4 linked regions of the Schizosaccharomyces pombe genome follow. The protein of the gene in region 1 purifies or fractionates together with the protein of each later gene. This does not show direct contact. Each region holds a gene or a part of one and is shown in the gene's direction. Other genes may lie near its edges.

What was found.
Region 2: the proteins of red5 (region 1) and pab2 purify together in Schizosaccharomyces pombe (affinity purification with mass spectrometry; 3 studies listed by BioGRID, with this or other methods). This does not show direct contact.
Region 3: the proteins of red5 (region 1) and red1 purify together in Schizosaccharomyces pombe (affinity purification with mass spectrometry; 2 studies listed by BioGRID, with this or other methods). This does not show direct contact.
Region 4: the proteins of red5 (region 1) and pir2 purify together in Schizosaccharomyces pombe (affinity purification with mass spectrometry; 2 studies listed by BioGRID). This does not show direct contact.

Annotation. Positions count from the first base shown.
Region 1 is NC_003423.3:1,046,230-1,054,115, forward strand, and holds red5 (zinc finger CCCH domain-containing protein), read left to right. Parts: upstream 1-5,373; 5' UTR 5,374-5,850; coding exon 5,851-5,893; exon of another isoform or gene 5,894-5,967; intron 5,968-6,103; exon of another isoform or gene 6,104-6,109; coding exon 6,110-6,139; exon of another isoform or gene 6,140-6,184; coding exon 6,185-7,242; 3' UTR 7,243-7,386; downstream 7,387-7,886. Other genes in the region: Erg28 protein, read left to right, coding at 1,306-1,447, 1,559-1,649, 1,714-1,891; dre2 (anamorsin family protein), read right to left, coding at 2,335-3,201; SPOM_SPBC337.11 (peptidase), read left to right, coding at 4,086-5,063; Gtr1/RagA G protein Gtr1, read right to left, coding at 7,549-7,886.
Region 2 is NC_003423.3:1,936,570-1,943,849, reverse strand, and holds pab2 (poly(A)-binding protein Pab2), read left to right. Parts: upstream 1-3,061; 5' UTR 3,062-3,093; coding exon 3,094-3,129; exon of another isoform or gene 3,130-3,180; coding exon 3,181-3,434; exon of another isoform or gene 3,435-3,489; coding exon 3,490-3,577; exon of another isoform or gene 3,578-3,633; coding exon 3,634-3,756; 3' UTR 3,757-4,479; downstream 4,480-7,280. Other genes in the region: serine/threonine protein kinase Ksp1, read right to left, coding at 1-623; HECT-type ubiquitin-protein ligase Pub3, read left to right, coding at 5,371-5,549, 5,892-7,280.
Region 3 is NC_003424.3:5,068,668-5,077,573, reverse strand, and holds red1 (protein Red1), read left to right. Parts: upstream 1-3,675; 5' UTR 3,676-3,701; coding exon 3,702-3,846; exon of another isoform or gene 3,847-4,124; coding exon 4,125-4,185; intron 4,186-4,385; coding exon 4,386-6,112; intron 6,113-6,156; coding exon 6,157-6,362; 3' UTR 6,363-6,643; downstream 6,644-8,906. Other genes in the region: protein mcp3, read left to right, coding at 1-2,438; ASTRA-associated protein 1 Asa1, read right to left, coding at 6,772-7,878; serine protease Psp3, read right to left, coding at 8,379-8,906. UniProt on the Schizosaccharomyces pombe protein: Promotes the exosome-mediated degradation of mRNAs containing a DSR (determinant of selective removal) signal sequence from mitotic cells.
Region 4 is NC_003423.3:1,215,830-1,223,627, forward strand, and holds pir2 (C2H2-type zinc finger domain-containing protein), read left to right. Parts: upstream 1-3,575; 5' UTR 3,576-3,679; coding exon 3,680-3,743; intron 3,744-3,795; coding exon 3,796-3,903; intron 3,904-3,957; coding exon 3,958-3,988; intron 3,989-4,059; coding exon 4,060-5,686; 3' UTR 5,687-5,761; downstream 5,762-7,798. Other genes in the region: serine/threonine protein kinase Ppk31, read right to left, coding at 1-92; peroxisomal targeting signal receptor Pex5, read left to right, coding at 1,190-2,986; BAR adaptor protein Hob3, read right to left, coding at 6,531-7,277, 7,320-7,367.

The DNA of each region.
Region 1 (7,886 bases):
CAAAGGAGGAATTAACATTTTTCTAGTCCTAGGCCGTTCAAATAGATATCCACAATTTGAAGAACAATTAAACAACATTATCTTTTCCAATTTCAATATTTGAATGAAATTTGCTCATAAATGTGCTTTCCTTTGTGGTTGAATGAGAAAATAATGACAAGACTATAAAATCATGTGCGATTTAAAAGACGAAAATAAAAAAAAAGTCGACAATACGAACGATTATTAAAAATCGTTTTACATCCTTAAAGTATTGTTTATCATCATTAGAAGCATAATCCGAAAGATACCATGGTCTACGATATATGTGCTCTTTGTAAATTTTGATGTTTATACTTTTTTTTGATGTGGGTCAGGTTTGTGACTGGGAATTTGGAGTAAGCTGCGCTCATGCTTCTTAGCGATAATTAGCATAGTTTAATGCTTTTTTAATGAATAATTTATATAGATGTTAGGTTTTAAAACGCAGATTTCTTATTCATATGGAATTCTACTAATTTCTTATGTAGCACACGGAGTATAATATATTTTGCTAATCAATAAGTTAACCGCCAACCTGAAATATTAGAATACTCATCTACTTTGAGCTGTTCCAGGTTACAATTGTACAAGTAGTATCAACCCATCCCTAGTATTTACATAAGTGTTTCCGTACAAACGGTGGGTTACTTACAATAAGATCATTAAAATAATTAATTCTCCTGATTATGGTTCTAAGGTTACTTGGATTTTTGAAAACTCTACTATCAAGTTATGTAAATTAAAAATAGTAAAGCCGGTACTTAATAAAAGTATACATTCTTGCCATTTTTTGGACAGCAATTCGGCTATGTATATTTGATCCTTGGTAGAATCCTTTCGTGTTTTTACTAAGATATACGAAAATATAAGTAGACGAGGATCTCTTACTACCTTTCTAATTGCTAATGTGCTAAGTCAGCCCCAGTTATCACAATCGTACAATGTCAACAATTCACCGGGACGTTACTTATGCAATAACCTAGTTGTAAGGATATTCTCACCGGTAAATCCCAACCCGAAATCAGCACTGAAAAAGAAATCTCTTTGAAACCTCAGTAAAAAAGCATCTCTTTTTACATTGAAAATAAGCTTACTTTGTTGTTTTATTATACTAAATCTGTCTTAGCATAGCGATATAAAACATAATGTTCGCATCGATTTTACTAATTAAGTTAGTGCAAAACCTGTCAATGTTATAAATTGCTCACAGTCGCTTTTCTCCAATTTAGTACTGTAATCCCTCAACTACACACTACTAGAAATTTAATATCCTAAGAAATAACAATGTCTCAAATACTAGCTATGCTCCCAGATAGTTTAGTTGCCAAATGGAATGTTGTGGTCAGTGTAGCGGCGCTTTTCAATACCGTTCAATCGTTTTTGACTCCAAAGTTGACTAAGCGTGTATATAGCAACACTAACGAAGGTAAGAATCATGGTTTTTACGAGTTTAATTGATTTATAATACACATAATAAGCTCTTTAATGATGCTTTTTTTTATTAGCTGATTATTTTTTGCTGACTTTATATCTGTAGTCAATGGATTACAAGGTCGTACTTTTGGCATCTGGACATTACTAAGTGCCATAGTGCGTTTTTATTGCGCATATCATATAACAAATCCAGAGTATGTTGAATCAAATCAAACATTCAATTTCCAAAATCATCTGATATTGTCTAACTTCTATTAGTGTGTATTTTCTATGCCAATGCACATATTATTTAGCCTGCTTTCATTTCCTATCTGAATGGCTTTTGTTCCGTACTACTAACTTGGGACCAGGATTGTTGAGTCCAATTGTGGTATCGACCGTTAGCATTTGGTTTATGGCGAAAGAAAAAGCCTCGATTTTGGGGATCGCTGCTTAACCTTTTTTTACTCCCCCATTTTACGTATACTATATTGCTTGGAGAGAAGAGAAGAAAAAGAATCAACATAAATCCATCATTTTTATGCCTTCGGGCTTTAATGCAATGGTTCTATTTCTAAACCATTCTTCAAATTTTTAGTTTAGATTCTAGAATGTTGATGATTTTAAAAAAATTAAGGAAAAGCATGGTGTCTTGTTTTTCGATTTCTTTGCCCAAAGACATAGTAGGGACTAAAAACCAATAGTAATATAACCACTTCAACTTCAATTTGCAACATTGTTAGTTCAAACTTAACCAGAACTTACAAAATCATAGCAAATATCGGAATTAAAAACAAATGTTAACAAAAAAAAGTATTTAACTTTAGTTTCAATTAGGCAATAGAACTGCAGTACGGTCATTCATAAACCGGAACATCTCAATTACAAGATAACCATAAATTAAATGTCATCAGCCATCCAGGACATCTTGTCACGATTTTCAGCCAATATAACTGTGTCACCGGGATTGAAGGCAGGCATTCCTATATACGGGCATCCACTACAACGAAAAGCGTCGCCAAGATAGCAATTTCCGCAACTTGAGACGGCATTTTTACTCTTGAGCTTCTCGGTGAAATCAACTTCGGTGGTGTCTGTAAGTTTTACAGCTTCTAACTGTGCGGATGTCTTGGAAGACTCGTGTTCTTCCATTTCACGTAATCCACAGGTACAGTTCTTGCAAGCACGCTTTTTCTTTCCAGGTTCAGGTTTGCACTCGGGCACTTTTAAAACATTATCGTGGGCACTTTCGTCTAACAACTCATCTTCATCGATGAGTTCTTGATCATCATCACCACTAATAAGGTTTTCCTTGTCAGATTTTAAGAAATCAAGAATTTTGTTTTTGCTCGCTGATTGACCATTTTTGTTTGATAATTTAATGGGAACTGCTTCCACCTGATTGGGACGAGATAAAATCCAAGGACTCTTTGATTCAATAAGCCATCCAGATAGCAAAGCTGTCATTTCAAATGACTCGTCTGCTTCATCGGCAGTAGAATAAACACGAAGTGTTCCTCCAGGATGTACTGATGCAAAGGCTTGTGAAAGTATAGGTCCTAGAGTTGAAGACCATGCACCATCATCAATGGCAGCAATAACTGAATCATATCGATTGATGGGTAAATTAACAAGTTGAGATTGGACGCGATCTATCATTTGCAACTCTCTAGAAGCACCATTATCGATAAGGTCAAAAACTTTTTTCAAAGACTCCTCTTTTGAAGCAAAGCCGGGAGACGTCAAAACAAGGACAGAAGATGACATATTGAGAGAAGATATTAACAGCTTAAACAAAAGCAAAAAAAGTAATTAAAATTATTATATTATTACACGTTTCAGCGAAATGAAACCCTTAGCAATTGGTAAGTAAACCCACCAACGAATACAAAAAACACTATCAATAATAAAAATAAAAACGAAATCTAGATCGTTGTAACGTATGTACAGACAATTAGAAAAAAGTCAAAAACTGTCTTCCTTTTACCGGTCTGAAAGTGGTAAAATTTTTCTTTTAATCAACGGATAAACAAAAAAGTTATCTGTAGATATAATATGAAAATTTCCACGCCTTAACGTTATGAAATGATCAATTATAGAGAAATAATACTCAAACAATAAAAAAAAGGAATGATTAGTATTTTGTTCTTGTTAAATTCTATTTACCACAAGTGGCGACGCTGTAAATTTAACCTGTTGATTGGTAATCCGTCAGCATGTCTTAAAATGAATAGAATCCAATCATGTGGCACTGTAAGGCATATAGCTAAAACAATATTGTGGTTTTCTTATATATCGTTATTTATGCTTATGAAGTACTGCGCATTTCGGTAAGTCATTGATTTCTACTTTGTTCATACTGATCGAACAAGTCAACGGAATCACCGGCTAATCGACTGAAATGTCGGGTCAAGTGAAAACTTGTGTTGTACTTTTGGCTGCACGCAACTATTTCCAGCTTTGAGAACCATTTTTTTGGTAATTTACATTTAATAGTCAAATATTTTTAGCCCTGTGTTTTTTCGAGAAATTTGATATTCGTATTTTGCCGTGGGTGTCATATACAAATTACATATCGACTGTATAAGATAATAATGATAACTTTATGTAAGACTAGAGGGTTTTTTACTTCAAAAAGAAGGATTTATTAAATGCAATACTATCAAATGATGAAGGCGTTACGAATGTTAAAAAAACCGAAGCCAGGTTGTTTGGGTATTGAAATTCAGAGTGTTCCTATTCCCCAACCAAAGAATGGAGAGTTGCTTGTAAAAATTGAAGCTGCTGCCATCAACCCCAGTGATCTAATGAACGCAACAGGGGGTTTCCCGTATACTGTTTATCCTCGAATCGTTGGGCGAGATTATGCTGGTACTGTAATTAGTGGCGCATCTCATTTAGTAGGAACTCGAGTGTTTGGAACGAGCGGTAGCGAACTATCATTCACTAAAGACGGTACTCATGCTGAATACTGCATAATACCGGAAAAAGCAGCTGTTCGTATGCCAAGCAATTTGTCGTTTACTGAGGCAGCATCAGTCGGTGTCCCTTTTACAACCGCTTATTTGGCTTTAAGCAGAGGAGAAACCAAAGGCAGCGATATAGTACTAGTGGTTGGAGCCTTAGGTGCTGTCGGGTCGGCTGTTTGTCAAATAGCAGAGGATTGGGGATGTAAGGTAATCACAGTGTCTAGGAGCGGCTCAACCGATATCAATACAGTGGTGGATCCGGAATTAAAAAGGGTCCACGAATTGGTTGAGAAAGTTGATGTGGTAATCGATACGGTGGGCGATCCTTTGTTGATGAAATCGGCTCTCAATCAATTGGGAATAGGGGGAAGGTTGTCTTATATTTCCGCACCTAAGCAAGGGAGTATAGAATTTTCGTATGACATGAAACAAATATATCGCAAAAATCTGAAGATTATTGGGTGCAATTCTCTCTTACTTTCGTTAGTGGAATCAAACTCACTATTAAAGAATATGGTCGCCAAGTTTGAAGCAGGGAAATATAAGGTATTAAACAAGAAAATTGCTGAAACATCTCTTACTGATGAATGTATAAATTCATATAGAAAACTTATGAATGAATGTTCTACAAAGTTTGTGATTACTATGAGCACAAATTAAGCGTCCGAAATACAGACTTACCAAATTGTTTTTTCTGTATAATCAGTAAATTTTAAAAGAACTATAAATATTTGCTTTGATCTTTCATATCGTTTATTATTATTATTATTATAAAGAGGTATCTATTCGTTAATGAAAAAAACAATTTTGAGCTACGCTTTAAAGAAGGATTATTTAAATTAAGTAAAAAGGATTTCATTATAATTAAAGCAATATTGTTTTAATACTGATAATTTAAGATAGTTTTTTTTAAAATATCGTTATAAAGCGTCGGTAATTACATTGATGCTACTCCGACATTGTTGGTGCCACCGACTACGCTACTCTAATCTGTCGACTTAGAAATACCTTACCACATCTAATTACTGTAAGAATTTATTTCAAGGACTTTTTCATAGTTTTTTTGTTTTTGTAACGACGTTTTCAAAAAGGTCATTGTCAAACATATAAGCTCTTGCCTGTCGTTAAAAAAAGTAAAGACCTTGGTTAATCGTTGTCGTTCAATTATTTGGGCATTTAACTTAAACAGTTTTGTTTAAGGAAAGGTTCTCAAAGACTTTTTTTTAAAAGATTCACTTATAGAACGAAAGACCATTAAAGTGGAAAACCACTCATTTTAAAACATTGAGCAAACAAGAGCTTTTGCATAATATATCAAGTGGTGGTTTAAAACAGGAAATACTTGGACGATTCAAGTTCAATAAAAGACATTAAAGCTGTTGGTTTATTTTACAAAAAAAAACATCCGTTCGTTATATTTATTTATTAGTTCTAGGCGGCATTCACAATGAACGAGCAACAATTGCTGGAAAATATTGCTTCATTAGCTGGTACGTTTTGATTAAATTGTATTAACGTCTTTTGATTGTCTGTTATACAGAATAAATTTGGTCGACTTTGAAGTTGGATTGGTTTAACTAATGAGCTTTTTGGTTTTTGAAACCAATGAATAATTAGGATTTTCAAGGAGACAGATTTTATGCAAAAAAATATCTTTATGTTTCTTTATTTATGAAACGCTCAGTAATAATATAACTAACCTTTAGGTGCTATCAATCAATATAAAAATGAAAAAGGTAAGATGCCCATTTATGAGGAACTTTGACTCATGATTTTAGCAGAACCTACCCAGGTTTTAGATGCCGCTAAAGCAAATAAGAATACTCGTTCGTATCCCTATTCTGTTTCTAGGAACTATTCTTTTATCCTCAATAAATCCAATCGCTCGAAATCGACAGCTGCTAGCCCTCCATATGTGATACCGTCAACATCATCGAATGCAGACGATGCCAATAAGGAACCTGAAAAACAATCCACATCTGACTATGTATCACGGAAAAACAGACATATGCAACTGATTAAAAAAAATATTCTTGAACATGATTTGCAAGCGAGAAAAGCTAATTTGGAGAGCTACAGAGCCAAGCTTGAGAAAGAATACAAAACTTTAGCCGAAAATAAAATCCAGCAAAGATTATCCGATGGTACTAAACAATTAGTAACTATTGACGGACTGCAGTATATTACCGGTGTATCTGATACCAAGTGGTTGGAATTTGTTAGTGCTAAGGGACAATGTCCAAAATATTTATATTGGAATAATAAGTCTTATCTTCTTAAAAAGAAGAGGTTTCTCAAGGAGGTTGGAAATTCACCTTCAGCTGTTTATTGCCGTTATTATAATGCTAATGGAATTTGTGGGAAGGGAGCAGCATGCAGATTCGTGCATGAGCCCACCCGCAAAACGATATGTCCGAAATTTTTGAATGGTCGATGTAATAAAGCAGAAGATTGTAATTTGTCACATGAATTAGATCCCAGACGAATTCCTGCATGCCGGTATTTTCTATTAGGAAAATGCAATAACCCAAATTGTCGATATGTGCACATTCATTACTCTGAAAATGCCCCTATATGTTTTGAATTTGCCAAGTACGGTTTCTGTGAGTTAGGGACGTCTTGCAAAAATCAACATATTCTTCAGTGTACCGATTATGCTATGTTTGGTTCGTGTAATAATCCACAATGCTCTCTCTATCATGGTGCTGTTTCCGCTGATGTACCAGAACAAACAGAAGCTCCAATATCGAAGACTGCTGGTTCTATAAATCCAGAAGACTCTGGATCGGAAATTGGAAGTAATTCCTTAGAAAGCAACTTGGATTTTATATCCGTTTAGATAATTCGTTTAGCAGTTTGATCTTGTAGAATTAAATTATCGTGTAGTTACGCAATGTCTAAACTTTTGATGATAATGAGTTATAATTTTCTATTAATTGAATACAATAAATTTTTAAAAAATATCATAAGATTTAGAAAGAAAATAGAAAAAGATTTCAACTAGTTGATAAAGAATATTATTTTTTAAAGACTAAAACTAAGAGGCTAGGTAATTACAGCAACAAGAGTAAAATACATTAGATCCACATTTTTTACGATTATCAAAGAAAAAAGAACAAGATTGATGGATCTATCAAACGGAAAATTAAGGTTGCAGTTGAATACCGTCCGAAGCGCTCTTTGAAGCTTCTATAAATCGTCGAGCACTTTGAATGTTCATAAGGGTTACTGCTGATTCGATTTCTGGATCAGCAATGACCACCAATATGTATGTGTCCTCAGTATATGGAACAATGAATGCAGAGAAATTACCACCACGAAGCTCAAAAGTAGTAAATTGAGCTTGCATTTTGCTACAACTGAGTTTAAATTGCTTAACAATATTGCTAATTTTTTCGAACCTGTGAGCATCAGTGGCAGGATTGGACTCAGAAGAATAAGAAGAAATAACCAAAAATGTTGTTCTTTCAAATAATATTACCT
Region 2 (7,280 bases), 890 kb from region 1:
AGGCAAATACCAAGAGCCCATATATCCGCTGCACGAGGGCTGTAACCAGCACCATCAACTTCCTCAAACTGTTCAGGAGCCATGTAACGGTCACTGCCAGTTCCAAAGTCATAAGATATTTTGTCCCTGCAAGCAAGTCCAAAATCACTGATCTTGACCACAAGCTCAGATCCATCTTCTGAAAGAGAAAGAAGAAAGTTTTCTGGCTTTAAGTCACGATGGTAGATACCATGAGAATGCAAATGTGCAACACCATCAATGATTTGAAGAAAAATATTCTTAATCATTTCAGGTTGGTTCTTTGCATTTGGAAAATCATTATTCAAGATGCACTCGTATAAATCACCAAGAGGGCAATATTCGAGCACGACATAATAGTATACATTGTCTTCAAAAGATTCAACGAAATGAATGATGTTGCGGTGTCGAGACCGCGATAGCTGGCGCAAGATATTGACTTCTTGCAAAAAGGTATAAGCAGGTTTTTTGATGCACTTAATGGCATACTTCAAATCCTTGCAACGGGGAGTCCGAAAAAGACGATGGGCTAATACTACAGTGCCATACGATCCCTTATTCAGAGGGCGCTCAACTTTATAACCTTTCTTTTGAAGCAGCTTCATAATCACACACACTTTCGATTCCGAACTTTTCTTCTTTAATCAAAGTTTGAGAGGTCGAGCAGATGATAACTTAATGTCGGTCGAATGATACCTAAAATTCACAGTTTTCTTAAATTCTCCTTTAATAGACTCAAACAGGTCGTTCTTTGAAAGTTGAACAAATAATATAGATATGAATATAAATACAGAAATATATATATACTCTATTTGTTCTTCACAGTACACACCTGGGGAAGAAGAGGAAAGATAGTAAGAAAACAAAAACAAATTCCAGTAAACACTCAATCTCTAGAAAGCCAACACCTGTACAAGAAACAGGTTTCAAAAAGAGATTGGCGGAATACTTCGGCAACGAAATAACCTAGTAGAGGGAAGAAAAGTCGGCCTGGCTGTTCGAAGAGGATGGCGGGTATGAAAACAGTGGTTTCGCGTTGAATACTTTGGGAGAATTAGAATTTCGTAGCAATTCACTTAGATCGTGTGTGTATTAATATTTTGTTAAGCAAATTTTCTCATGTTGAACCCAGAAATGTAGCAGAAAACAGAACCTTGGTTGGTTGTTGTTGGTAGAGGGTAAAGTTATCCGCCCCCCCTGAGGAGTTCTTTTTAGTGCTGATGTTCCTTTGATTGCGATAGAGAATTTAACGAAATTTAGTGGAATATAGCACAATTATGTCGAGATAGTAGATGAGTTGGTAAGGAAGATTCGTGATCAATTTATCCCGTTCTGACTTCTTCTTCCTTATTCTATGATAACGTGACTGTGTAGTGCATTATTTCTCCTTAAACTTGTGCGTGATAAATAAATAAATATAAAATAGAACAAGTCGTATATACTAATTTATAGACACATATGCTATCGTCTACAATCTATTTTCATTTTTACTAATTGTTTTAATTATTTTTTCTCATCTTATTGAATTCTTTTCTCGTTTCTATCTTCGTTTCACCGATCGTTTTAGATGCACAAGTAACCACTGTTAACTAGAATAGCAAAGTAGATAGATGAACGATGGAAAATGTTCGATAATGAGAAAGATATAAGCCTCGAATATGAACTAATTATTTCGTACATTTTAATGAAATGATCTTAAAATTGCCTAACAATTTGCTTTTTGTTTGATCATTATGTTGCTTGGTTTAAGGAAGCTGCCATAGCAATTAAATATCAAGAGATATATAGGCCCTTGAATAGAAGTACGAGATTGGAAGGGATCATAGAAGCTTCCTTTGAGTTAAAACTCTGATTTATTAATTTTCTCCGCTTCGGTATGTGAATCGTCAACGGTGTCTAGAAGGTAATCAATGGTAGACTGCTACCGGATAAATAAATAGTGAAGTATCTGTAGTATTGGTTCTACAATTCGCATATGAAACGAAATATACCGTTACTTGATGCTTTATTATTATTTGTTTTATTCTAGTATTAGTTAAGCTGGGAACGGCTTGCTGTGGTTGATAGATAAACATTGTTGGGAAATTTCCATTTTATTAAATTATTAGTATCCCCAGGCAAAAAAAAAAAAAAATTGGTTTATTTAGACTTGGACTCTTTTTACATTTAAAGCGTAGAAACAAAAGAAGAAGAAAAAAACAATTAATATAAACGATAGCATTACGTTAGATGGGTTGCTGAACAAAAAAAAAAAAACACAAAAAACTACAAAATAAAGTAAAAAAAGAAATAATGGTAAAAATCAGAAAAAATAAATTAATTTATATAAAAATACGGAATATTATTAAAGAAATCAATTAAAAAACAGGAAGTTATTTTAAATAGACTTCCATTCAAAAATATCCCTTTTCTATATTTTTGTAATTCATCACCCTTGGCTATCGAGCTAATGAAGATAATACCAACCCTGGATACGTATATCAATGGTGAAGAGTGTGTAATAATTGAGTTCGAAGTTCCATGAAAGAACTACATTATGCCATACTTTATCACGTCTTATCGTATTTCTTTAGGATTCCACTTATTTCACTTCAAGTGGGAGAGCTCTTCAAGCAACTTAGGTATTCGTTACGTCCAAAAACTAAACATTTAACGGCATATCCCGTCAATCTCCTTAATTGTTTTTTAAAGATCGCTTTCTTATGAATTGTGATTTTAGCAATACAATAAAACCAAACACGCCATACAAAAATGTCCACAAACCTCACCTTACTTACTTGTGAGCACTCTCATCTTAACCAAGCATCCGAACTATAAGCAGGCAGTCCAAATCCTCGTTAAACACATATTGTACGTATTAACGAATACGAAAATATTACACCATATTGTGCTGTTTCATTCAGAAATCGGTTTTTCCGTCTCTAATCGTGCCATACGCTATTGTAAATTTGCGCGAAACAAAGCGTCGCTACTCTGAGAGCATAGAGGGAAACTTTTGTCACCCTCAACATGCTAAAGAATACTGGTTGAACAGTTTACTTCCAACCACACGCGTGTAGCAGAAAATTTGAAAAAATGAGTGATCAAGATGCCTTAGATACCCAAGAAAAGGTAGGAATTCAGACTGTGTAGTATGGTGGAATTATTTGCTTACATGATTAGGAACTATTGGAAATGAAAGAGCGAGTTGCTGAAATGGAAGCAGAGGCTGCAAAGCTTCGTGCCATGCAAGAACAACTAGATAATGAAACGGAAGCTTTGAGAAACGATAAGGAATCCATTGATGCTCAAAGTGTCTATGTTGGAAATGTTGATTACAGTGTTACTCCAGAGGAGTTGCAAAGTCATTTTGCTAGTTGTGGATCTGTTAATCGCGTTACCATTTTGTGTGACAAGTTTACGGGACATCCAAAAGGGTATGAATCGAACTTGTGGATGACGTTGGAATGTACAGCTAACCTAGTTTCGTAGATTTGCATACATCGAGTTCAGTGAACCAAGCTTAGTGCCTAATGCTCTTTTATTAAATGGATCGATGTTGCATGAACGACCTTTAAAGGTATGTAAAACAATCACAGTAACTACCAGCAACATGCATTCTAACTTGAAATGTAGGTTACACCCAAGCGGACAAACGTTCCTGGTATGAGCCGTGGTCGTGGTCGCGGACGTGGACGTGGACGGGGTCGTGGCAGAGGAGGATATCGTGGAAGAGCCCGTGGTTTCGCTCCGTATTAGGTAATCGCTTTGATGACTTGAAAAAGTGAAAAATGAATTATGAGCATTCAAATCGTCACCAATAACAGTTAGGTGGGAAAAGATTAGAAATGACATTTAACAGTATGTTGGAAATTAACTAGTATTTCTTTCAACTCATTCGTTAAATGTTTATATTCCTTGTTTATTCTTTTGTGTTGGATTACACGGGTTTCCTTTAAAGTCATGATCCCATTCACTATATTAAAACATATATGCTGACATAATGTAATTCACCGACCCTTCAATTCCTCTTGGGTATGGACTAGTTGATTGCATTTTTGTGTTTACAATGCCAGCTTCATAAAATTTTGTTGTATATTGTCGTTTTTATGCTTCTGATGCACGTTCATAATCTTCAAAATTTTCTTTTTTTTGTTTTTGAAAATTTATTTGCTCAGCTTAATTTCTCGTCATAATCTTGATCCGCTTGATTAGAAAAGGGGTCAGAAAAGGAAGCTACTCTATACACCGTATCACATATTACAGTCATCTCCTTCCTTTCTTGATTAATAAAACTAAACACCTACCAATGTATAATTTCATTATATATATATTTTTGTAATGAGGAGATACTTCTCTGTGTTCACCATTACATTTTGTGTTTAATATAGTGAAACACATTAACGTTCTTCTCTTCTCCTTTGGAGAGTTTAATGCTGAGGATCTTCTTATATTTCTAATAAATTTCTTGATTCTGTTTAATGATTTTATATAGAAAATGTATGACTTTCTTTTCTAAGTCTACAAGTTCATTTTTATATGTAATAATTGTGAGGAAATTAATTTTTAGTCATCATGATGTAAAATGACATTTAACAAAAAAAGCTTGGTGTATATCTAATTAAGTAGTTTTTACATAGTCGATTTTTATGTTCATATATTGTACATGTCGAGTCAATTTCTTTTAGCTACCTGCGGCATATTCCGGATTCCAGTACAAATAATTTCCTTCCTGCCTTTTACCCAACTCGTATAGGGAAGCGATAAATAAAAGTAACAAGGATAATCAAGTCAGTCGTTTCTACGCTGTGCCACTCAGATTCGATGACCTTTGTTTACTCTTTCGATTTGCCAAATATTAGCTGAGCGGATATTCGCTGAACTTGCGAGTTACACCTATTGATCCACTATTTAGCCAACCAACAGGTATTTACACTAGGATATTCCAGAGAGCATTCGAGCATTCGAGCATTCGTCTGTCGATTTATAAAAAGAGCCAATTTAGATCGTATATCGGTTTACTACTTCTACAACGAAAAAGATAAATTGGTCGATTTCCTCAACACTCTCTTTGCCTTTTTAAATTACATATAAAGTTGCTGTTTAGCCAGCGAACGCTTAGTATCTTTAAACGCATTTCCCTAGCAAAACAAGAATATCGTTGCGTAGTGAACTACAGCGTTCTTCATACTACCACCAAACTCCCCCACCTTCCTACTGGCTCGGAACCCCCGCTTCAATATTGAAACCTTTTGTGGTATACGTATCCGCTTTTACCATTTACCACAATCGCTTACATATTGAAGGTTTCGTGAAGTTTCGCGACTTTCACCTCTCCGCTTAGAGGAATCCAAGTAATTATATGTTAAGAACATGGAACAAGGAGCGAAAAGAGTCCGGTTCTACATAGTAGCTGCTGATGGATTAAGTAAACGGGATCTTTTTCGACAGCCCGATCCCTTTGCTATTTTAACGGTAGATGGCGAGCAAACTCATACAACGAAAGTTATTAAAAAATCGGTGAACCCTTATTGGAATGAAGGATTTGAAGTGTAAGCACATGACAAATGCGGCGGATAACATGATCAATTGAAAATAAAAAAAAAAGAGATGGTAGAGATTGGACCTTGGATGTTCTTAGATTTGGATAGATATGTTTATACTCTTAGTATTCACGTTAGTTCGGAGTCTAAGCATTTCTTTGATGGTCGGATAGTTTTTGTGGCTCCATAACGAAATTTTTTTAACAATTTTCTAATAACAACATCATTTGTATATTATCATATCCTATCCTTTTTGCAAATCTTTTATTACTACTGCATCTTTTTCTTTTTTTTTTTTCAATATGTTGATTTTGCCCTTTTCTTTGTTCCGTTATACTAACTAAATTCTAGAACTGTTAAGCCATCTAGCGTTATATCCATACGCCTTTTTGATCAGAAAAAGTTCAAAAAGAAAGATCAAGGCTTCCTTGGCTTAGTATCCTTTCGTATGCGTGAAGTTGGTAGTTTTCGATCAAATCGCGAAGTGTCGCTTACTCGACCATTGAAAAAATCTTCCACCACTAATCTTTCCGTTTTGGGAAATCTCGTATTGAAGGTGGCCCCGTCTAAAATTAGGGCTCCCGCCGGAAATCACTCATCTACTACAGCCAATCGCACTACTAGTACACCTACAACCACAACTGCACGTACTACTCGTACTACTCCCCGTCCGACTGCCACAACTAATACCTCGAATCAGTCCACTTCGAATTCGACTCGGAATGGCACTTCTGCTGCAACTTCAAATGGGACTGGTACTGGCGCTGGTACTGGCGCAAGTCATCGTTCTAGTCCTGTAACCAATCGCCAGACTAACAATACTAGTGCTCTTTCGAATTCGAATGCACATATCATGTCATCGTTTGAAGACCAATATGGACGTCTTCCTCCAGGTTGGGAACGCCGTGCTGACTCTCTAGGTCGCACTTATTATGTTGATCATAATACGCGCACTACCACCTGGACTCGTCCGGCTAGCAGTACAAATCCTGTACATAATACGTCGAGTGATAGCCAAAGACTTAATCATCAGAACAGACATTTACCTGATGACTCTAATCCATCTTTAATGCAATCAGATTCCGGAAACGACCTTCCTTTCGGCTGGGAAATGCGATACACAGATACAGGCCGCCCATATTTTGTTGACCATAATACGCGAACTACCACATGGGTTGATCCACGAAATCCCCTTGTGCGACCTAATGGTGGCTCTTCTACTGTGGGTAGCTTGATGCAGCCACAGTCACTTTCGCATTTGGGTCCCTTACCTAGTGGTTGGGAAATGCGTCTTACAAATAGTGCCCGTGTCTATTTTGTTGATCACAATACGAAAACAACCACTTGGGACGATCCACGTCTTCCTTCTGCCTTGGATCAAGATGTTCCTCAATACAAATGCGATTTTCGTCGCAAACTTATATATTTCCGTTCACAACCTGGTATGCGTCCTTTACCTGGCCAATGCAATGTTAAGGTACGCAGAGATCACATTTTCGAAGATTCATATGCGGAGATTATGCGTTATTCTGCTCATGACTTGAAAAAGAGACTTATGATACGTTTTGATGGTGAAGATGGTCTAGATTACGGTGGTTTGTCTAGAGAGTTTTTCTTCCTCTTATCACATAAAATGTTTGACCCGATTTATTGCTTATTTGAGTACTCCGCTGTCGACAATTACACTCTGCAGATTAATCCTCATTCTAGCATTAACCCTGAGCATCTCAATTATTTCCG
Region 3 (8,906 bases), on another chromosome or scaffold:
GCCATAATTTCACTTTGACGCTTTATAAATTTTCTTTAGATAACCAAACATTTTCTCAATTACTTTCTCGATTTAAATCTTTTGCTACTTTGACTGAACTACTTCAAGTGCACAATGTTATGCTTCAAGTAAACTTTTCCTTTCAAGCAAGGCAACTAAACACAGAAATTCAACTACGACGATGCCATTCGTTAGAAAAAACATGGAAATTCTTATTTGGCGATTATGAATTACCTGATGTTCTAAAAGATATGGAGTCATCGAATAGTGATTGGAGTGACACATCTCTGAAACGAATTGCCTATTTATGTTCTCTTGTTGAGGAGCTCAAACTTCATTCTTCTATTATGAACGACAAGTATGTGTGCCTTGTGTCCAAGCATAACAACGCATTGGAAGACAAGTTTAACAGTGAAGCCGCGCGTCAGTTGTTGCAGAAATCTCTAAGTATAGTAGCGTCAAATTTGAAACAAGCCGAAAATAAAACTATCAGTTATGAAGAAAAGCTTTCTATAGCTCAAAATTCTATTAATGAAATTCAAACCCAAAACAGGGATTTAAAACTTGAAACCGAGAAGTTACAGGATCAAATCAAAGCGTTGCTAGAAAGAAATCAGTCATTGCAAGAAGCTCTAGAAACTGTTAAAAATGATGAAAAAAATCTGAGAGAAATGAACGCCAATTATGAAACCGAGATGAAAGAAGCGCGTCAAAAGTTAAACAACAAGGAGGCATTAATTAGTCATTATGATGATGATTTTCGAGCAAAAGAATTAAAAATTTCAAGACTTTCCGAAAGTCTTAGAGAAAAAGCAGGCTTATTGGAGTTTCAGTCTTCTGTTAGTGAACAAAGGGATCTACTTTATCAAGAACAAATACAGTCGTCAATAAAGGATATGGAGAATGTATTTCGAAAAAATGAATATCTTATGGAAGAACTTAATGAATTAAAGAACAATCTTGAAGTGGAATCAAGTAAGGTTTTGAGACTTGATGAAGAAATGAAATGCCTAAAGGATGAGCAACTCTCTCAATTTGACACGGTCTTTAGTTTGACTGATGAACGGGATGGATTACAGAAGGATTTAAAAAACACTAAGGGAAATCTTGACGATGAAATCGGGCGCTCTGCATTTTTAAAAAGCCAAATCAGGGATCAAGAGCTAACTATTGAGAAGCTCCATGACAGTTTGGAGACTTTAAGTCAAACTAACAATAGTTTACAGTGTGAGATTTCTGAAAAGAATGCAGAGTTAAATTCAGTAAACTCCAAACTTTCTGAAGGTAGAGCACACCTGGAAACCGCGAATAAGGAGAATGAGATATTGAAGCAGCAATTGGAGTTAAGTGAATCCAAATTAGCCAGTTTGTTAAACTCTTATCAATCATTTATTAATAAAAAAGAGCACCTCTATTCTTTTTTACAGCTTGTCGAGCCATCGTTCGCTAAAAGTGATTCATCTAATGCTACCGAATCCCAAATTTCCGAAAGTGTACGAAAAGGAATTTCAATATTTAATCTTTTGTTCATTGTTTACAAAAACGTATGCTCTCAAGCTGGAATTAATCCATCTACAAAGCTTGAAGATCTTGATGAACATACACTTTCTGATGAGCTGACTTATATAACAAAAAAGTTTGTACAAAAGGATCAAGAATACCAAACGAAGGAAATCGAGTTAAGGAATTATAAAATTACTCTTCAGTCGTTACTTGAAGATAAGCTTATCGGTGTAAATACTGATTGCAGATCACCTTCTTGTTCAGACTTTGAGCAACTAGGGCAAGAAAGCGAAAATAATACTTCTATCTCAGGAAGGGTTAGTAAATTAGTCAAAAGCTTTAATGATTCATCTTCTATTTCCAACAACACAAAAATCTCAATCACTAAGTCCCCATCTGGTGAGAAAGTTTCCGTATTTAAAGAGATGTCAGACATAGCTCTGCGCGATATGGATAAAAACAGAAAATTATTGGGAGAAAATGTTGACGTGAGAAATATTGTTGTCCAAAAGGATGAGTCATTGAACATTGACTTACAGAATAATGCTGTAGTACCTGAACTGCACTTCAAGGAGGGGATGGTATACGATTCATTGGAAAATGCGTATACTTATTTGGCCGAATCCAAACGCATGTTAGCAAATGAACTTCAGATGAAGCAAGAAGATCTTGAAAAAGTTATTTTAGAACTTGAAGCTTACAAGGAAATCTTCTTAGAAGAAAAACAAATTCCTTGTGAGGAGTTTATGCCAGGTAAGAACGCAAAATCCGAAAAGTCACTGCGGTCAGTTTTTCAAGAGCAGTTGATGAGAGAAACAAAGCGAGTTCGAAAATTGGAAAAAGTAAACTCTGAATTGAAATTGCATTGCTTTGAACTTTCTGAACGATTGAGGGAGCGCGAGCATACACTACAGCAAACATTTGGAGACAAATAGTATGTTCGCAAGTAGTAACAGATCAAAGGTACTAGCCTCATTGAGATTACCAATAAATAATCTATGAATACGGTCTTTCGTTTTAAATGCTTGAAGGCCGCCTGTTAGCCTCAAATGATAACTTGACCGGTCTTAAAATTTCGAGGTTTATGGGGGAATTTCAATAATAAATAATAACAAAATCTAGCATTTTTGTTAGGTGATTACATGAAAGCGTTTTGATCTTAAATCATTTCTTCAAGCTCCTGAAAGGCTAAATTTTTCATGTAACGGATTAAACAGACTAAATTCAGATTAATAACTTAAGCAACGGAAGAGTATGTTATAAAACTGCACGATTACATATTCCTCGGTCTTTAGTATTTTTGCACGATCGGCCTTGTAATCAGATACGGAACTACCTTTTCGATGAGGGTTTTTAGTAAAAAGAGCTATTACCAGTGTTACTGTCAATAGTCGGCTTTCGTGCTAAAACATCATAAACGGATACCCGAACTTTTATTGCACACGAAATTTGCATAAAGCACAATGTTTTTGTTGTTTTTAGTTTATGAACTTCAAGTTTTTAATAAAGGCCAAAGACTGTTCCAACGTTAAAACCGAACTGAGCGAAAGAATATTTCTTTTTCTCATGTGCTCATAGAAGGATATGCTAGTAGAAAACATTATCATTATTGGACAAAGGTTTAAAACACAGTTTTCTCATTTTCGCTATTTTTCTTGAACTTCTCCAGATGTTCTATGTTTCTATTTATGAGACAAGGCGGCCGCTACTAAATTACTGACTAGTCCATTAAAAGCAGATTTCCCGCTATAATTTGATAACTCAAAAATGTTATTTCACCTTCGCGTAAATTTGTGCTGTAAACTAGCAAAAGATAATTGGATGCGAAAGCTTTGAATCACCGCTACACTTTTCGTATGAGCAAGCCAATAAGGCTGAACATATTAGCTGTTCTTGTGTTACTTTTTAAAATTGTTTGAAAATATATTTGCTACATTCAGTATACCTGTTCAATAGACTAATTCCGAATGTTTTGTAAATAAAGAGTCTTAGTGCATATTTCAGACAGTTCATTAGAACAAATAAGAAAGTATTCAACCATCAATATCTTTATTAGGGAATAACATGCTCTGAGGTGAAAAAACTTTATGTGCAATAATATTTAATGTTTTTCGCGTTTCACTGTCTTAACTGGTACTACAAACAAAACATCTGCTGTTGAAATTTGGCACTACTAACCCAGTTTTAGCTGTAAATAAATGTCCCGGTCAATAAATCTCGATGAGTTGCGAAAAAAGGCTTTAGAATCAAAAAAGAAGAATGAAGAAGATGAGAGTAATGACTCTGACAAAGAAGATGGCGAAATTAGCGAAGACGATCCTGTTATAGATCAATCAAATTCAGGTAAGGTAGATTAGAGATGGAAATTTACACAAATATATTGTGAAACGAGACTTTTTGTTTTTATAGGCTTGTTCGCATTTTATTGAGTTTTCCTCGACGATTGCTTGCATTCGTTTAGAACATTTCATATCTCTATTTATATGCGTGGCTTTTTTTTTTTTAAAGAGAGAAAAATAAAGCTGGCAGAAGCCTTTTATATGTATTTGGAAATTATGTTTTGATATCCATCTTTTCAATTTTCTCACCGTTTAAATGAATTCGTTTTTTTAACAGTTTAGTTCCGCCAATGAAAGTACCAACCTTTCCTGAGCAAATTCCTCAGTTGCCTCCTTTTGATAGGTAAGCATGGCATTTGATTAAACCTGTCAGTGCAGCTTATTTATCTTTTCTACGGAGCTATTCTCCGCTAGTTATGCTGTTCTGTACGGTTTAACTCCAACTTTGGGATTACGAGAATGACAATTTGTAAAATTTCCTTTTTTTTTTTCGAACTTGAATACATTCAACCCATCAGGTGTCTTATCTAACTAACACACTAGATTTCCTGGAACTAACGCGAATTTTTTTCCATTTGGCGCACCTTTTATGCTTCCTCCAGCTTTGATGTTTGGACCAAATACAGTTCCTTTCTTTCCTCAAACCGCCTCCTCAAACAAAACCTTTTCGAAGCGCAAACGGTCATCTGAGAATTCATTCAACAACCGAAATAAGGCGAAGTCTTCTGAAACATCGGATTCTTCTAATACTTCCCAGTCATTTAAAGAAAACCGGGCTCTTAAAGATACCGCTACTAGCCGACCATTGGCTTTATCATCCGACACTTCTTATCAAAAGAGTGAAAAGGCAAAATCAGAAAAATCACCTTTTCTTTCAACATCTAAAAATTCTGATGCAAATTATTCCAAGACTACTAATCAAAAGGAAGCAGAGAAAGCTGTGAGTCAGTTGTTTGAAGTAGGAGTGCGCTTTAACGATTTTATTGCTGAGGGCATCGAGCCTTCGGTTGTTCATACTTTATTTTTAAAGCTCGGACTGGATTCCTCTTCTGCTAGCTCCCAAGGAAGTCTGACACTATCTGCAGACAAAGCTGCTAGGTCTGCTAAACTTCGTAAGATTGACAGTAATCTTAGTGACACACATATATTACCTGGCGATAATGGTACACCTACCGTCCTTCCTGAAAGAAAAAATCTTATATCTTTACCACTTTTGAAGCAGGACGATTGGCTATCTTCTTCGAAGCCTTTTGGCTCCTCGACTCCAAATGTAGTTATTGAATTTGATTCCGATGATGATGGAGATGACTTTTCGAATTCGAAGATAGAACAATCTAATTTAGAAAAGCCCCCCTCAAATAGTGAAAATGGTCTTACTATGTCTCGTTCAGATTACTTGGCGCTTCTTCGCAATAAAGAAGAGGAAATACGGCGAATGACAAAGTTGATCTTACGGCTTGAGTCTAATAAAAAACCGTATAGATCGCCAACTTCTGCCGCCGATATGAAACTTCCATCTGTCCCTGTAGCTGCGGTTGACAACAAATCTAAAACACACTTGGATACCTTTGAAAAAGTCGTTGATCTTAGTTCCAAAGCCGATTTTGTGGAGGCTGGACCTTCTATTAGCTCGTCAGGAGCCTCGTCTAGTGCTGCAACTACGAATTCTGATACAACTGAGCAGATATTAGAGGCACCTTGGCTCAGAAAGACGGAACAAATTGCTGTGGTACATGAAGAGCATCCCGCACAGATTAAAAAATCCGAGATTGACATTTTAAATAACTTAATAGAAAAAGAGGAAGGAGAACTAACAAAATATCAAACTTTGGTGAAATCAAAAACTGAGATTCTAACACAATTGTACACTAGGAAAAAACAGTTACTCGAACAACAAGGGAAAGGAAATGTTGCATGTTTACCTAAAGAATCTGATTTAAGTATGGACTCAATAACCGAGGTTTCCGCCCAAGCAGATGAGAACTCATCACAGATTTTGTCTTCCAAAACGTCAAACGCGCCAAATGGGACGACGGAAACAGATTTTGAGGATAAGGTACCGCTTGTCGATTATATCTCTCCATTTTACCGCTTTAAATCTTATCGATTTAATCAACAATTTGTTGAGCGAGTACCGTTGAAATATCGGTCGCTTACCTACAGCAATAAGATAGAGCCGATGAAAGTTTTCTGTAAATACGAAACCACTGGTGGTGTTTGTAATGATGACCATTGCGAGGCGTCGCATTTTCGCGACATTAAAATGACGGGTTATGGTATTTGTGCTGTTGATTTTTGACTAACCTTTATACAGATGATGAAATTATACAAGATTTATCAAGGTACATCGAAGGAAATGATGAAATTGAGAAAGAGTCTTATAAATCCGGTTTAGATATAGTCATGAAAAATACCGATGAGAACACCGATTTCGTCGATGTTGCTACTCGAATCGTCGAATATCATAATCTTTGGAAGTCGGAGAGAATGACAATTCCTGTTGCAAAGGTTTCCATTTAGATTGAAACTGCCAAGCAACATCAAACTAACTGTAAAAATTTTGACCGTCAAAATTACGTCCTTGTACTATAAACATCACTATACATAAACAATGGCTCTTTGCCGTTATAAAACTAATGTCACTACTTAATATAGCTCAGGTTAGAATTATGTCTTTCGTACTTTCTATGCTTGCATATGAATCGCTCATCTTATTTGAGGCGATATCAAAATACTGGAAGATTAAGCATTTACTAGTCTGATATTTAATATATTTAATATATGTAATACGTTTAAAATCATTTCAATGGTTATTGATAAAAATGCGCGTATTGTAATAAGAATGAATTGAATCCTGCAAACCAAAAGTAAATGATTTCTTGAAAATGATGATGGATTAAACGTAACTGTAATGTCCTAAACTTTTGCCCTAATACAACTTCCAGAGAGATATTCTGGTGTCTTTACTAGCTAACGCAATCACGTTGCTGCCTGGATGAAAGGCCAAACTATTAATACCATCGGAGTGATATTTCAAAACCGCTAAAGGAGCTAATGTCTGGCAGCTGTAAACACGACCTCGACCATCCCATCCTGCAGTTGCTAATATCTTGTTATCACTTCGTATACGAATATTTTGTTGTCCACAATGCTTTGTCTTTCTAAATATAGGATGAGGCAGACTACCAAGATCATCAGCTATAGATGAAGGAGTAGGATGCAGACATATACAGTCATCAGCACCCGTTGAAAATAATTTGGAACCAGCGTACTCTACCGATAAAACTGGTTGAGAATGACTTTTGTAGGCGTAAACCATCTTCCAAACAGCTTTAAAATCGAGGGTAACAGTCTTTACATTTTCTAATGAACATATGTACTGAACCACATGACCGCTTTCGTAACCGGCAGCTAATAGTACATACTTCTCGTCAGTAACGGTTACTGAGGTTGACATTACTGATCCTGTTTTACCAACAGACTCTTCTGGCTGAATTCTCGTCTGTAGTCTTTTTCCGCAATCCTCTTTGTGTGTTTGAGGATGATACAATGATTCATCATCATATACATCAAGCTCTTCAAAGTTCAATGTATTGCATAAAACTACTATTTTAGATTGAGGAGAGTAAGAGAAGGGGCAAAAGGTTAGGGAATTAACAACGATATTGGAATGAATAGATATAAATGCGCTGCTCTTCTCAGTTTCAGAAGAGGCTTCAGGACCGTAATTTTGAAGTTCAGCTAGTTTTGATAATGACATAAAATTGTCGGTCATGCAATTAAAATCGATTTTCCAAGTGACGAGACGACAGTCTCTACCGTGAGTGCATAAGGCTCCTCCCTTGACTATTTGCATGCCCAATATGGTTTTTGTATGAGCTCTCCAGGCGCATTTTGGTCGCATACTAGTAAGACACCAACAAATTACAAAACCTGCCTCATCACCAGAATATAAGTATTCATTAGCGTCAAAAAGTACACTAGTGACACTGCTAGAATGACCACGTAAAACGTAAAATGGAGTAGGAACTACCATGAAAATTTAAATTAAAGCATCCACTTTGAGCAAATATTTGTAATCATCAAGCTGAGAGGATAGGGGAACAATACAAATTGAACTGTAAAACGAATTGTTGGTGGTAAGGGAATCAATTTTAATAAGCGGTATAAGACAAAATTATAACGGTGAATCCAGAAGGCATTTTTTTTTACCAAGTGATATACCATACTTGTCAAACTACATATTTACTACTAGTACGAATGAACGATAACAATAGTGCAAAAAGTAGTAGATAAGAAAATGAAATAAAATTCTACTATACCTGACATTACAAAAAAAAATCAGTCCTAAAAGAACAAATTGGTATCGTTTTAAATGATTTCATTGCTAAACATAACAAATGTCATTACTCTGAGCTTGTTCGTCTGATGACAGTAGATATTCAACAACTTGGTTAATTGATCATTCGTATCGGAGCATCAAAAAATAAACAATCAAGGTCATCAAGCTAACATTTACATACACATAACTAGCGTTTACTCATAATTGTTGAAGGCAAGGACATTAGGTGTGTCCTCAGGAATGCCATTTAATAAGTCTTTTAGGGCAAACTTCAGCATATACTTCTTCAACTCCACAGGATGATTAGCCAGCGAAGGATCGAGAGAGATAAAATAAGCAGCCAAACCGGCGACATGAGGAGAAGCCATAGAAGTACCAGAAAGGATCATAGAAGCCCTGTTAGATCCAATCCAATCAGACAAAATTAAAGAACCAGGAGCAAAGATATCAACGCAAGATCCAATATTGCTAAAAGAAGCAATTTGATCGTTCCAAGTAGAAGCACCAACAGTCATTGCATTGGAAACTCTGGCTGGAGAGGTACCGCAAGCATCCTCTGCATCATTACCAGCAGCAACGGCAAAGAAAAGTCCACCGGCAATAGCGGCATTCACAGCCAGATCAAGAGCAGTACTTGCATCACCGCCGATGGACATATTGACGACACTTGCAATTGATTCCTTGTCTTTCTTAGATTGCTTAAAGGCAAACTCGATACCTTT
Region 4 (7,798 bases), 170 kb from region 1:
TTGGCATATTCCACTATTCCATTTTTTGACATTTCAATTTTCAGCAGAACTTCGTGGGAAAGTATCCTCTTCAATTGCTCTGGATTAGTCATTGTTTATCATAATTGAACACTTTAAGCTTCTTGGTATAAAAGAAATTGTATTCAAAGTTGTGTAAAATCAATGCAAATGGTTCTTACGCGATAGTTTTTCGGCAAAGACTTTTAATAGTTTGTAAGACTCGTATAATTTAAATACCTTTTTTTACTTATGAAGCGGAATTGTTGTTGTATACAATGTTTTCGTTATTATAACATCATCAATTTATTACTTGGCTTTATTAAATTCGCCAACTAATATGCTAATTCATAATGAGATCACAATTTGAACGAGCGATTTTTAGCACTTTAATTAGCGACAGGTTCTTTAACAAATATTTGTCGGATGTGAACTGTAGGTGGCATCAATTGGTATTAAGCAGAAAACAACCAAAACCATTGTTACAGCGAATATTGACTAGCGAAAATTAATTAGTTTTTTAATACATTTTATTGTGAGCGACAGAAGTATTTGGTGATTTAATTCATTTGGCGTTGTAATTTAGACAACAGGTGAATAAATAGATGTAGAGTTAATACTTCAATCCAACCCTTGGTTTAACTTTCTAATCACACTAATTTGAAAAGAACTTAGAAATAATATGGATTTTTTTCTCTGTATCATAAAGCTATGGTTTTAACATATGCAGCATGGTTTACAAAAGTATAATAAAATGTTGAAATCTAAATTCCTTAGTGGCAATAGATTAGTCTGAAAAAATAAAGAGAAAGTCTTTATTATAAATTGATATGGGTTAATGTGGTGTATTACAGAAGCGATTAATCTAACGTGCTACGCTCAGCATCTACATGAACTGAGCGCACTCATCTAAATATTTTTGTAATTGGTAATAAGCAGCAATACATGCCTGAGTTTATACGCAAGTTTTGTAACAATCATTGGTGCGATCAATTTTTGTTTTTTGGTTAGTTGCATCGTTACTTCTTCCGCTTTTTTGTTTTCATATTTTTGGTTTTTAAAACACATCGCAAATTCAATCAAGTTGCGAAATTTTTCATTCTTTGATATTAATTTTCTTACAACCTACTTAAAAAACTATTTCCTTTTGGTCGAGAGCCTTTATATTGGCTATAGTCTACTTTCTTCAAAAATGTCTGTTGAAGCAGGATGTTCAACGCTATCTAATCCTCTTAAGAAATTGACTTCCACAGCTGTTGTCAATAATTCAACACCTTCAGCTCAATATCGAAAACATTTAACCAAGTCTCAAAGTCGTACTTACGCTCCTTTGCAAACGCTGTCTGAGGATCAATTCACATCTTTCAAAAATCTCCAAGGAAACAATAGTCCTTTAGGTAATGTAGTTAAGAACCCAGTTAGCTTAAAAACTGGAAATCATACCGGCACAACTACTCGTGGAGGCTCGAAAGAAAATTGGGTACATTCTTTTTCTTCTCTTCAGCAGCAGAATAGTAAGTCGGCTTGGACATCAGAATTCTCTGAAGTATTTCTCAATTCATCTGAAAACGACCGTTTTCGAAACTTAAACCAACCTTTAAAACAATCTTTTTTTGGTTCCGCTGGACTAAATTTATCTTCAAATACTGAAATACCCTTACAAAGTTCTTTAGCTATTGACGAAACTGAGTTGGCTAAGAAATTTGAGGAAGCTTCTCAAATCTCCAATAAATTAGAGAAGGAAAAGGATGCTACTGGAAGTAAATCAATTGAGGAGCTATGGGAAGAGCATCAAAAGCAATTGAAAAACGCCGGGCTAGAGCCCGCAAGTTTAGAGGAATACCAGAAACAATGGGAAGATTTTTTAAAGTCAAACAATATTTCTGACGATCCTTACACTTCGTCTGTGAATAGCTTTGCTAATGATAATTTAGCTCATAATAAAAACATAGATCCTCAAATTTTCCAGCATAGCGATACTGATAACGTTGTTGAAAACTCTTTACAAACGGAAGATGTATATTCACAGAACCAAGATGAATCTTCAGAGGTTGTGAAAGAGCTAAACGGAATAGATCCATTTGTTGAAGCCATGAATTTAATAAAAAATGGAGGATCTATCTCGAAAGCAGCTGTGTTATTGGAACAATCTGTGAAAGAGAATCCACAGCACTTCGAGGCCTGGAAATGGTTAGGTCGCATTCATACTCTATTGGGAAACGAATCGCGGGTTGTTGAAGCCCTACTTGAAGCTGTCAAATTGGATTCAACCAATCTTGACTTAATGATGGATCTTGCTGTGTCTTATGTTAATCAGTCTCTAAATGTTCAGGCATTGGTTTGCTTAGAAGACTGGATAGTCAACAGTTTTCCCCAATACCGAAACAGGTTTGCAAAGATAAACGAAAGGTTTGAAGAGAAAGATTCTGCTAACGATCTCTTGAAAATGCAGATGTATTTCTTGGATGTAGCTTATGAGTTATCACTTGCTAAGAAGCGTTCCTCCAAGGTACAAGCTGGATTAGGAATAATTATGTATATGTTGAAGGAGTATGAGCGTTCTGCAGATTGTTTTCGGCAAGCTCTTCAAGACGAACCAAGTAACGAAATATTGTGGAATAAGCTTGGTGCTGCTTTAACAAATGCAGAAAAAAATACTGAAGCTGTTTCTTCCTATAATCGGGCAGTATCTCTACAGCCCCAGTATGTTCGAGTTCGCTCAAACATGGCTGTTTCCAACATCAATTTAGGATACTTTGAAGATGCTGCAAAACATCTACTTGCTGCAATTGATATTATACAAAACAGTTCTACCTCAATGGAGAGCTGCGAATCAAATGAGGAACTTTGGGAAATGCTTCGCAAAGTATTTTTGATTGGATTCCAAAGTACTGATCTTGCCTCTCAGTCCTATCCTGGAGCAAACACTAGTTATATACGAGCCCAGTTAAGTGATCTCCAAGGTTGGCCCGGTGTTGAGCTCGAATAAATCTCTTAAAGCAAACGTGCTTAATTCATTTTTCATGTTATTATTTATTTGGTTGTTTTTTTTTTTAAATTTTTTGTCTGAGGCATATCTTTTAGAGGACGTGCAAAAGCTACTTTTTTTTTGTTGCACAAGAAATGAGATAACTTACGCTTCAATATCTGAAGCAGAGAACAAAAGTAAAAGAAATCTTACTCTATGCTACCAAAGTTACTATTGGTATGCAAGTTGTACCTTTCTTGACCGTTTATACAATGGAAATTAGATCTTCAGTGATTTGAAAACAGATGTTATTGTTTACTTTTGTGAGAGTGCTTCTAAGCTCTTTGTAAGCACAGTTTTTTAAGTAATCCAACATTGTATTTATTGACGATAATGAGACAATGTTTAGTATTAATTGTTCAATAGCATTCGCATAAAATTCGAAGTCTCACTTTTTTGTTTAATCATTTGCTTTTATAATCTCAGTTTATTTAGATATACTGATGCGTATAATAAAGTATTTGACAATTTTCTATATTTTGAATAATGAAACTTAGTGTACCAGCATAAAGTGCTGTATGGATATTTCTCTCTCGTAAGAACATTCTTCAACTAAGCAGGTTGAGTACCAATTTTGACCCAATTGAAATCATTAGTTTTTTAATAAATTAATCCCGATTGCTGGTATTTATAGAAGGGGAACAGTGTCAAAATATGAGTGAGGTCCATCAAGAAAGTGAAGTAGAGTACAGTCGTTGGAAAAGAGAACGCTCTCCTGGTAAGTTGTTAATGTTTAGTTTGATAGAAATACTCATCCTTTTTTTGCATAGAACGGAGTCAAAGACGTTCACAGAGCCCCCCTGGTGAACAGTCTGCGTATCATCGAGAACGGTCTCCTCTACGAAAGCGTGGTAATTACTATGATGATAGAACAAGAGGTAAGAATAAATATAAAATTCTATGAATTGACCTATTAACTACAATACGTCTAGCTTCTGGACCTTACCCTACATTTACTAAACCGTAAGTTACGACTAAATAAATACTCTACTCGATGTGAGTGAAAAACCAAAGTTTTCTAACAAGGAGACTAGTTTAATTGATCCATATACTCAAACAAATGCGGTTTCTTATGAACGGTTTATTCGGTGGTATAGCAAGGAAAACCATATATCCGCAACAACTGAAGACTTATACAACTCGCTTCATGGAACTTACAACAATTATAAACAGGATCTATACGCTAGGACCGCAAGAAGTTTTGTTGAGAGCCATTGTGACGAAGCTTGGTTTGAAGACAGCTATTGGGTGGACGAGTCACAAGGAAGAGTCCTTGAAGTGTCTGAAAATGAGAAATCTTATCGCCGGGCGTTATACGATAAATTCATGGACAGATTAGACGCCGGTTATTATGATGATTTTCAGCTTCCAACCGCTGAGGATGTAATCGAAAAGCCGTCAATACCTGATAATGATACAGATGACTCAATTCTTCCTTCTAACGACCCGCAACTTTCCAAATGGAACCAAGACTCTCGAAACGATGCAATGGAAAATACACTATTGGTCAGTCATGTTTTGCCCAACATCTCGGTTGCGCAAATTCATAATGCACTCGATGGTATTTCGTTCGTACAACATTTTTCCCTTTCTACTATTAATTTAATCAAGAATGATGAACGCTCACTTTGGGTTCATTTCAAAGCAGGAACAAATATGGATGGAGCTAAAGAAGCGGTGGATGGGATTCAATTGGATTCAAATTTTACTATTGAATCTGAAAATCCAAAAATTCCTACTCACACGCATCCCATACCTATTTTTGAAATCGCTTCTTCTGAGCAGACATGTAAAAATTTGCTAGAAAAACTAATCCGTTTTATAGATCGGGCTAGTACGAAGTATAGTTTACCAAATGATGCTGCACAACGTATCGAAGATCGATTGAAAACACATGCATCTATGAAAGATGACGATGATAAGCCGACGAATTTTCATGACATTCGTTTAAGTGATCTGTACGCCGAGTATCTTCGCCAAGTGGCTACTTTTGATTTCTGGACTAGTAAAGAGTACGAAAGTTTAATTGCTTTACTGCAGGATAGTCCTGCAGGTTACTCGCGGAAAAAGTTTAATCCATCCAAAGAAGTCGGTCAAGAAGAAAATATTTGGTTGTCAGATTTGGAAAACAATTTTGCTTGCCTTCTTGAGCCTGAAAATGTGGATATTAAAGCAAAAGGGGCATTACCCGTTGAAGATTTTATTAATAACGAATTGGACTCTGTTATTATGAAAGAAGATGAACAAAAATATAGGTGTCATGTCGGAACATGCGCGAAGCTTTTCTTAGGACCTGAGTTTGTCAGAAAGCATATAAATAAAAAGCATAAGGATTGGTTGGATCACATTAAAAAGGTGGCTATATGTCTCTATGGATATGTGCTTGACCCATGTAGGGCTATGGATCCCAAAGTGGTAAGCACGTCGTATGTATCCTTACAGATTTTAAACAAGCCCTACGTTGGTTTCAGAAATATTAACGCAAACTATACATTTCCAACAACAAGCTATAGTCGACGAAATGACGAGGAGATAACTTCTGGAGCATCATCACAAAAATCTTATTCGAGGCAAGAACCCATGATCCACAGACGGGAATTCTATAGAACTTATCAAGATTTGGATGCGCCTAACCAGGAGGTTCCAGAATTAGATTACTAAATTTATGTTCTTAGTCAGAAAGATTTTTGGTTAATATCATTTCCTGTATAGACGTTACTAGCAGTTGTAGCTCCATACTATATTTTAGATTTTAAAGTAGCGATAATCTACATTCACAGCTATTGTAAAATTGAACGCTTAAGTCCATGTTCGAAAATCAAACATCGAACGCTGCACAGATAGAAATAAACCCACTTCCAACTTGACTTACAGCTTACAAGATAGCTATTGTTTGGAAAATTAATAAATTACAATTCAAATTAATAATTCGTAAGTCAACAAAAGCATTTTTTTTTCTAATTATTATATTTTAAGATTTGGTCTAAACTTACTTAACAATAGTTATTTATTAGAACAAAACTTGGTACGAGATAGAAAATAAGCACAGTTTAGTAGATGAATCGCTGGGTCGACAGACAATATTGGAAAACCAATTTGTTTATCTGATAATTTGATAACTATTCCCAATTAAAAAATTATAAAGGAAACGTTACGAAACTGAAAGGATGTAGAAGCTTCACAGTTGAGTCTTTAATAAATATGTGCTGGCTTTCCCTTCAATTCCAGTAACACCAATAGAAAATACTCGAGGATAGATAAGTATGGAAAATATTTATGTATCACAAAAAATTGAATAAATTGAAAACATTCCGTGAACCACTTCAGATAAACAAGATAAGATGGTAATAAAGTAGTAAAAGAGAAAGGATATGTTAAACAAAAAGTATTGAGGGATAAGAGATCATGGTTACGTGTAGTAACAATTATTTCGGAGGAGAAAAGGAAAGAGAAAACAGAGTGATAGCGCTATGCACACATACAATCGTGTTTAAAAAACCGATGTCTACTGACTGTTGTTCAAACCGGCGATGGAAAGATCCCGCATACTCTGTAAAACTTGTTCAACTTTATCATCCAACAAACCATTGGAATAGTCTTCGCGTACAGAGTTGTCAAAGTATTGCTGAACTTGAGCCATTTTCTCATATCCCTCCCTACAAAAGCGGAGCTGAATTTTGACAAGGGCTTCAAAGCTAGGGTCCAAATAAGGCACACGAAGAGCAATTAGTTGCGGAAGCTCACTGACCAGTTGATTATTGAGTGTCTCGTAGACCTCCTTCGCCATGGCTGCTTCTTTCTCGGTACGGGGAAGCTTAGTAGTGTCGTTGGAAGGCTTGTCGACCAGTTTTTGAACCTTAGCCCTCATAGCATCATGATCAAGTAATTTGTGATTACGCTTCGTGATAGCGGCATTAATATCGGGAAAGTAACTGCAGAACCTTGAGATGGGATCCAACACCGTTGTCCGGAAAGGACCGTCCAACTCTTTTACGGTATCGGCGTCCAAGTCTTCGACGACTTGTCGATAGTATGCACTGACACCATCCTTCGATCCAGCATCACCGTAAAATGCATCGATTGTGTTAGCGATTCTAGTTTGAGACGCAGTCATGGCTCTCAAAGCATCGAGATAACCTTTGGCTTCTTTTTGAAGCTTCTTTGCAGCTGATTCCATAGTTCTATAACGTCTTTCCTCTGTTTCAAATTCCCGATCCACCGTTCGCTCAACATGACCCGTCTTCATCATAACCTACCACAATGTTAGACAATTCTTCAACACTCAAATACATACCGAGGTACCCGCTCGGTTAACGGCCTTTTTGAATCCATGCCAACTCATTTTTGTGATATGGAAAAGAGAAGCGTCGGCATACCCAGATATCTTATGTCAGTTGATCGCTGCGCTAATGTTCGCTAGCTAAGCTGCATTGGATCTTTTAGTGGATTCAGCAGGATTCGCGTAGGGAACAATTCACGGAAGCAAAGCCATAACGTAAAGCCTGATTGCGAAGTTTATCATTGCGTTAAATAGAATAATGATAGTTTATTTCACAATGCAATTATAAAAAGATAAGGATGAAAAGCGTGTCGTTAATTTTGTGTTTAATTGATAGAGCAAGAGCATAATGGTGGTAAATTTGGGTTTCGAGGGTTGGCTTACTTTCATGTCACTATCAATAAATTACATCGCTTAAAAAATATATCTAAATTTTTCTTGTATAATCATCTGTAGTAAATCTCTGACTGCAATTAGAGGTCTATCCTCAGATA